Daphnia pulex: one gene and its partner. The protein of the gene in region 1 purifies or fractionates together with the protein of each later gene. This does not show direct contact. Links are inferred from orthologs where the notes say so. Each region holds a gene or a part of one and is shown in the gene's direction. Other genes may lie near its edges. The genes, in order: cyclin-H-like and general transcription and DNA repair factor IIH helicase subunit XPD-like.

The links.
Region 2: the proteins of cyclin-H-like (region 1) and general transcription and DNA repair factor IIH helicase subunit XPD-like purify together in Homo sapiens (affinity purification with mass spectrometry; 3 studies listed by BioGRID and IntAct, counting the BioPlex papers as one, with this or other methods). This does not show direct contact. The link is inferred for Daphnia pulex from reciprocal best matches to the Homo sapiens genes CCNH and ERCC2.

Annotation. Positions count from the first base shown.
Region 1 is NC_060020.1:2,096,684-2,100,539, reverse strand, and holds cyclin-H-like, read left to right. Parts: upstream 1-1,493; 5' UTR 1,494-1,589; coding exon 1,590-1,706; intron 1,707-1,768; coding exon 1,769-1,965; intron 1,966-2,020; coding exon 2,021-2,194; intron 2,195-2,271; coding exon 2,272-2,531; intron 2,532-2,623; coding exon 2,624-2,735; intron 2,736-2,814; coding exon 2,815-2,941; 3' UTR 2,942-3,141; downstream 3,142-3,856. Other genes in the region: keratin-associated protein 19-2-like, read left to right, coding at 477-509, 591-715, 787-848, 914-964, 1,041-1,099. UniProt on the Homo sapiens protein: Regulates CDK7, the catalytic subunit of the CDK-activating kinase (CAK) enzymatic complex. CAK activates the cyclin-associated kinases CDK1, CDK2, CDK4 and CDK6 by threonine phosphorylation.
Region 2 is NC_060017.1:8,164,179-8,168,298, forward strand, and holds the start of general transcription and DNA repair factor IIH helicase subunit XPD-like, read left to right. Parts: upstream 1-1,320; 5' UTR 1,321-1,416; coding exon 1,417-1,421; intron 1,422-1,480; coding exon 1,481-1,580; intron 1,581-1,651; coding exon 1,652-1,906; intron 1,907-1,972; coding exon 1,973-2,206; intron 2,207-2,267; coding exon 2,268-2,391; intron 2,392-2,453; coding exon 2,454-2,550; intron 2,551-2,610; coding exon 2,611-2,744; intron 2,745-2,802; coding exon 2,803-2,971; intron 2,972-3,038; coding exon 3,039-3,158; intron 3,159-3,223; coding exon 3,224-3,292; intron 3,293-3,350; coding exon 3,351-3,522; intron 3,523-3,585; coding exon 3,586-3,864; intron 3,865-3,948; coding exon 3,949-4,037; intron 4,038-4,105; coding exon 4,106-4,120. Other genes in the region: cyclin-dependent kinase 20-like, read right to left, coding at 1-50, 115-305, 373-412, 480-550, 609-839, 911-1,229. UniProt on the Homo sapiens protein: ATP-dependent 5'-3' DNA helicase. Component of the general transcription and DNA repair factor IIH (TFIIH) core complex, not absolutely essential for minimal transcription in vitro.

The DNA of each region.
Region 1 (3,856 bases):
CTATTGTGGCATGACTATCGAAGAAATTCTATAGTATGTAGATACAATGAATTGCGGTCAACTGGAAACTGGAAAGCGAAATCGTTCACGTCTCTTTAGCGACGTCCTACGCCTGCCTGTCTAACGGCTACAATAATAATGGAAATTGTAGGATTGAAGCTCCATTAGACTATAATAAATCTAAAGACAAAGTAATAAAATGGCTTTCACTTAGTCAGTGAAGAAGTGGGACAGATCTTTTCTTCAGAACAATACTTTAGACTATTAGACAAGAAGTACGAATCAGCGATCTTTTTTCTTGGGAATTTTGGGAATGATCGAGAATCGCTTTCTCAAATTATCCAAATTTCCTGTAATGTTACAAAGAAAACGAGCGAAAGTATCACGTGATCAGCGGTACTCTATTTAAACGGATTGAAAACCAAGTCTATCATTATTCACTGTTCACTAGGACTCCTAGCTACACAATCTTCAATATGGTTGCCAGATATACCAGCATCGTTTCCATCGTGAGTATATTGCATCTTTTTTTAAATAAAAATACCGACTAAAACAAGGATCTCATCCACTAAATAATTAATTTCACGCAGGCTGTCATTCTTTGCTTGGCTTGCGGAGTACAAGCCGGTACCCCTCTTGTCGGATATGGAAGTAACACTTTCAATGAAATATTCTCCACCGGATTTCAAAACGGCCTAGGTGGCTATGGAGCTGGGTAAAACAATCCGCAATTATGCTCTAAAGAAGGCAAAAGGAATAATCTAATATTTTATTTTGTGTTGATAGTACTGTTGCCGGAGCCATTGGTGCCTACGGTCAATTCACTGGAATCGGTACCGTTGGAGTTGGTAAGTAAAACCCAGAATGACTCATATGCTTGTCAACCAAATCTAAATATTTTCAATGTAAACAGGTCAAGCGCTGACTGCCGGAAAAGGCTACAACCCCTACGCCGGCGGTGGTGGTAATATTTTCATTTTGTCTTTGGTAAAAGATATCGTTTGAAAAAATGTGTTAATAATCTATTCTCCTTTTCGTAGGCTCTGGCGGCAATGGTTTCGGTGGTTTCGGAACTGGGCAAACTGGTAACTACCACTAAAAGCCAACTGACGACGACGTCACACAATTTACTTAAGGACGAGTGCGCCGGACGAATTTTTATCACGTTTCATATTTCACCGCAATCCTATGCAATGCCTTCTTGAATACTCGGAAAAATATTTTGTTATGTGTCTCAAAAGCTCTTTACTGGATACAGAGCTTTAGAAACTTTCAAAATTGCCATGCTGAAATAAAAGTTTAGATTCAATTCTCCAGTCTATTTAAAGCTACTCATTTATTATTATTTAAAAAAAAAAGCTTTCTATCGAAATAGGGTTGTCAAAACTCATTCAAACGCGGTGGATTCTCATTGGCTGTCGGAGAATGAAACAACGTCTCCCAGATGGCGTAGGTGTCGTAATCATTGCCTTGGAAACGAAGTCCTCTAGCAGACGAAATTTACCAGAATTTTCAGTTGAAACTCAAAAAACCATATGTGAATGTTATATTTTGCATGGTCAAACACATGAAAACGGGGCAAGTTCAATATGTTTGCAACGAGTACCCAGCGTAGTTTTTGGATGTTTAAAGATGAAAATGATGTTTCTAATGCCCGGCTCAGTGCCAACATAAAATATATTTCAAGCCGAGGGAGAAATATGACTGTAAGTTGCTTCCAGGAAGTGTGACCAACATGGCATGATAATCAATGTGTACTATTTAACAGGTTGAAGAGCAAGAACTCCATTTTTTGAACGTGACAGAGGAAAAAATTTTGATTATGAGTTATGAATACCAGCTCAGAGACTTTTGCAGAAAATTCCTCCCTCCTATGCCTCGCTATGTGATAGGAACAGCTTTGCACTACCTAAAGCGTTTCTATGTCAACAATTCTGTCATGGACTATCCACCCAAAGAGATCCTGTAAGTTATTTGTTAATTAAATACCTGAATTTGCAATAATCATTTATTCTTATAGTGTTACTTGTGTCTACTTGGCTTGCAAAGTGGAAGAGTTCAATGTTTCTATGGATCAATTTGTCGGTAACCTGAAAGGAGACAGAGAAAAGGCTGCTTCCATTATTTTGAACAATGAACTTCTTCTAATGCAACAACTTGACTATCAATTGACTGTCCATAATCCTTTTCGACCGTATGTACATTTCATTGTCTTTCCCTTTGCTGCAATTTTCTTTTGCTCAACATTAATCCTGATTTATAATTTTGCAGGCTTGAAGGCTTGATGATTGACATGAAAACAAGATTTCCAACCTTCAGTGACCCTGAGAGACTGAGATCAGGAATTGATGAATTCCTCGAACAAGTTTTTTACACTGACGCTATTTTGATCTACTCCCCGTCTCAAATTTCTCTGGCAGCCATCATTCATTCCGCGAGCACTTCTAAGGAAAATGTCGACGAATACATTACGAAAATTTTGTTTTCCGAAGACCAGAAACGCTTATTAAATCTCATAGAAGCAGTGAAAAGTAAGAGTTCTAACTTTCCTTCTATTTTCCTCGTAATAGAGATGGTTTTTCCGATTGCCGAACTTCATTGTTTGCTTTCACTTTTATCAAAGAAATCCGTGTGATGGTGCGGAACGTTCAAACACCTCATCGAGATGTCATCAAAGCTTTGGAAAAGAAGCTTCAACTCTGCTGCAATCCCGACAACAACAGTGAAAGCCCAGCGTAATTGCCATTCTTATTTTGTCAATTCAACATGAATTTTAACTGATCCTTTCATAACTTTCAATGTGTTTTGTCTTAGATTCAAGAAGAGGATGAAGCAATCTTTTGACGACGAAGAATCTTTCGAAGATGGCCAGTATCCGTCCGCCAACTCAGATCAAGTTCGCAGTATGTTAATGGGAATGTCCGAAATGGGTAAAATTTAAACGCATTCCCCACGTTTTTTCGACCAGACATCCTATAAAATTTACAGTGCTTCCTGTTCCCACACTTATTCCGGCTTGTGCGTCGATTTCTCGAGTTCCCGTGTGCTGCAAATGTCTGTGCGCTGTACATTGAATGTATGTCTGCCGCACACAATAAATTCAATTAGATGAAATTCAAATACATTCTTGATGAACTGAAATACATGAAATTGGAATGGAATACTTACATGGAATACAATCGAATACATATCAGGCGATGGTGTGATTACAAGTTGCCGTTGAGACTAGTAATACTCATGTATACCTTGTTCTTTTGGCATAACGTTTACGGGTTCGAGTGTCACACATTATTGAATCACGAAAGCTATCTATGGCGGAAAATAATCAAGCGAAACGATGGGAAGTGAGATAATAATAGATGTACTTGGAATAACTCTGATGTCACGAAAAATCACAGGATTTTGAAAACGTAACATGTGTTTATAACATCAACGCGAGATCATGATGTAAGATGCCATTTGTTTCGGTCCGAGCTTTTCTGGAACACAGCAACATCAGAAAGATATGGAATTTGACAAAGGGGTAGGGAATACTACTAAGATTAAATCAGTTATCGAGATATATGGTCATCGAAGTTCGGTTGATCAAACCGTATTTTTTCTAGCTATCGGTTTAACCGAACAAAAGCGGAATTTTTCAAAGTTTTCATTCATAACTTGAAAAAGCAAATTTGTTATTTTACCAAGGGCATCTAGATGGCGCAACGAAAGTGTGGGGTTTGAAAAATAAAATAATTTGAAAATTTCCAGACGGTAAATGTTGGCTCCGCTTTCTATCGGGCGCTTAAAGTTCAATCATGTCGACGAAGCACGGAAGAATAATAATTCATCCCTTTCTCCCGCTATGTTGCAGATA
Region 2 (4,120 bases), on another chromosome or scaffold:
TCTATTGCTGTCATCAACGGATCTTCTTGAAAATATTTAGCTTCCAAAAACTGGTTGTCAATGCAAAGTTTTAATTAGATTTAAATTTTTAAAAGATAGAAGATTAGAAATGACCTGTTTAGCTGTTATTCGTGATTGGGGGCAATAGCGAAGAAATTGTTCCAGCATCGTTCGTGATGATTCGTCTACATCAATCAGGATTTTCTTAAAGGAGATTTGTTTCCGAGTTTTGGTAAATGAAATTTTGTGGAAATCTGGCAATGCTGATACACCTGGCCAATTTTCTTCGTCTGGAGTGCCTAGTACTATGTAATTACCCACAAAAGAGTTAATGCCATTCACCTTGATTATGATTACCGTATTGTTAATGACCTTGAATGACTGTGCACAGTTGGCCAATGTCATTTTCTCCCTAGGGTTTGATGGAAATCCGGATACTGTTACAACATATTATATTGACAACATTGGCCATTATTTACCGGAAAAAGGGGAGAATTCTTCAACATTTCACCAAAGATACAGCCCATAGCCCATAGGTCGACTTCCGGTCCTGTTGTGAAAAAGGTGTTAGAATTAACATGGCATTTTTAAATTAAAATGAAACTTGCCATAGTTGCGAGAACCATAGAGCAGTTCCGGTGCTCTGTACCACCGCGAAGCCACCTGATGTGTGAATAATCTTTGAGCCTTTTCGGAATGATTGAACGTACGACACAATCCGAAATCGGTCACTTTCAGTTCGCCTCGGGAACCAATCAGCAAATTGGCCGGCTTCAAATCCCGATGCATAATACCCAAACTATGAATATATTCCACAGCGCTGGCTAGCATCCACATGTCTAAATGGAAAGGATTGCATATTGGTTATTTGAATGCCTAAAATCTGATTGTAGAGATGTAAATATGGTACAGCTTTTCACGTGACTCGTCGGCAAAGGTTTGGAGTTGGAGCGCAAAAATTCGTAGAGATCTATTGGTAAATATTCAAAGACCAACACAAGCGAATATCCTTGTGGGAAATAGTCCACTAGGTTCACTACATATTCATGGCGGATCAGGCGAAGAGCCAGCAATTCACGAACAGCCGAGTTCGGCAATCCCTGCTCGTTAATGTTCTTCAACGCTATCCGTTTCATGGCGACCAGTTTCATTGTGGACTTGTCAATACCTTTAAGAACGATCCCGTGTGCCCCTTCCCCAATCCTGCCGTTCACAATATATCTTTCCATGAGATCGTTTAAAAAAACTAATCGCAACAAATATTTTTAAACAACAAATTGGTTGCCTTGACTACGCGCCATCTATTGGTAACCATTATCGACACGTGAAAAGGAAAATTAGTCTGCTAGAAATTTGAAGAAGAACAAGTGGCAAGCAACTTTATGTGCATGTTGTTGTAAACTTTCTCGTACAAAAATGAAGTAAATCCCGCACTTTTGTCAATTCAGAGACCACATTTAATTTATTTACATGTTCATAGATTAAATGTTGATGGACTCCTCGTCTACTTCCCTTACGATTACATATACCCGGAGCAGTTTTCATACATGCTCGAACTGAAACATGCTCTCGATGCAAAAGTATGTTGTATCGTCCAATACTAGTATAACTTGAAATTACATAAATATCTGTTGATGTTGGATCAATTCAGGGTCACTGTTTATTGGAAATGCCTTCTGGAACGGGGAAGACAACAACATTGCTATCATTAATTGTGGCCTACATGAAGGCTCACCCCCTTGATTTAACCAAACTAGTCTACTGTTCAAGAACTGTTCCTGAAATTGAAAAGGTTATGGAAGAATTGCGAAAATTAATGAATTACTACGAAAAAGAGATGGGCATGGAACAAAACATTCTTGGCTTGGCACTTAGCTCCAGAAAGAATCTCTGCATTCACCCCTCAGTAATATGAATTAAATAGTAAAAAGATTTAAAAGTATGGTTAATCAACAACACAATTACATAACAGGTCAGTAAGGAGAGAGAAGGAAAAGTAGTCGACGGGCGCTGTTACGGTCTCACGGCATCGTTTGTAAGAGCTCGTCATGCAGGTGATGACGCTGTGCCAGTATGCAACTTTTATGAAGGATTCGATGCTCATGGAAAAGAATTTCCGCTGCCTCCTGGGGTGTACAACCTGGACGATTTAAAGGAATATGGACAGGCCAAAGGATGGTGTCCTTATTTTCTTGCCCGATACACCGTTAGATCATGACATTTATAAAATATTGTACAACCAAATTAATACCAAATTTAAATTATAGATAACTCACGCCAACATTGTGGTGTACAGCTATCATTACTTACTTGATCCCAAGATTGCAGAAGTCGTTTCCAAGGAAATTTCAAAAACTAGCGTCGTTGTCTTTGATGAAGCCCACAATATTGGTAATTTTACTGAAACGTAACCTCTTAAAATTGCCCTACTAATTAAATATTGGTTTTTCTAGATAATGTCTGTATAGATTCGATGAGCGTCAAGATAACGAAACGTCTGCTGGATAAATGCTCCAATAGCATTCAAATTCTGGAAACCACCATTTCAAAGTAATCACAACTGGATGTGCATGATTAATTTCAGAGTTGTTAACTTTTTTAACTCTTTAGCATGAAAGAAAATGACAACAGAAGGTTGGAGAAGGAATACCAAAGGCTAGTTGAAGGATTGCGAGATGCTAACATAGCGAGAGAAACTGACATGGCTTTAGTTAACCCGGTTTTACCTTCTGAAATTTTAGAAGGTCTGTATTTATTCACAAGTATCCGTTCGGGCCATTTTAACATTTCTTTCATTTATAGAGGCCGTCCCTGGAACGATCCGTACTGCTGAGCACTTCGTGGCCTTTTTGAAGCGAGTAGTAGAGTACATCAAAACTCGACTCCGCGTCCAGCACGTCGTTCAAGAGAGTCCCGCCGGTTTCTTGAGAGATATTCACATTAAAGTGTGTATCGATAGGAAACCTCTAAGGTATATAAAAATACAGTTTCACACGCACAAATTATTATTTTACCTATTTTGTTGATAAACTTTCCAGATTCACCGCAGAGCGTTTATCTTCACTCATTCGCACTCTTGAAATATCCGACCTGACGGATTTCTCACCTCTTGTAACCGTTTCTCACTTTGCTACATTGGTCTCGACATATACTAAAGGGTTAATATCTTTATTTACAGTGATAAAATGGTGAAAAAATATCTAAAAGTAATTTACTATTTTAGATTCACCATCATCATTGAACCGTTTGAAGATCGGGCACCTACAGTTTCCAACCCAATTTTATATTTCAGGTATGTGAATATAGAACACGCAAAGACCAACAGTGATTAATGCTAGTACATTTTACAGCTGTTTAGATTCATCTATTGCCATCAAACCAGTTTTCAATCGTTTCCAAACTGTCGTCATCACCTCAGGAACCCTTTCACCGCTTGATATGTATCCGAAAATCCTCGACTTCCATCCAGTCATAATGACCTCATTTACTATGACTTTGGCGAGACCCTGTATTCTGCCAATGGTAGTAGATGCCTCATTTTTCATAAATGTTAACGTAACACTAAAATTCTTATTTTAAGTATAGATCGTATCGAAAGGTAACGACCAGGTCGCCATGTCATCGCGATACGAAACTCGTGAGGACACCGCCGTTATTCGCAACTACGGAAATTTGTTGGTTGAAGTAGCGGCCGCTGTACCCGATGGGATTGTTTGCTTCTTCACCAGCTACCTATACCTGGAAACAATTGTGTCGTCTTGGTACGATCAGGGCATTATCGATCAATTGCAAAGACACAAGCTCCTCTTTATCGAAACCCAAGACGCAGCAGAAACGAGTTTGGCGCTGATTAACTACATCAAAGTACGTTTCGTTTCTAAAAGTAATTAATTCCTCTAGTCTAAAGATTTTCGTTTAATCTGAATCGATCTGTTTAATCGAGTGAAGGCTTGTGATAATGGACGAGGAGCTGTACTACTTTCAGTCGCACGGGGTAAAGTCTCTGAAGGAATTGATTTTGACCACCATCTTGGACGGTATGAAAAATAATAGGAAAACAAAAGATTCTGACTATATTGACCATTTCTTTTACCGATTCATGTAGCGCCGTGTTAATGTT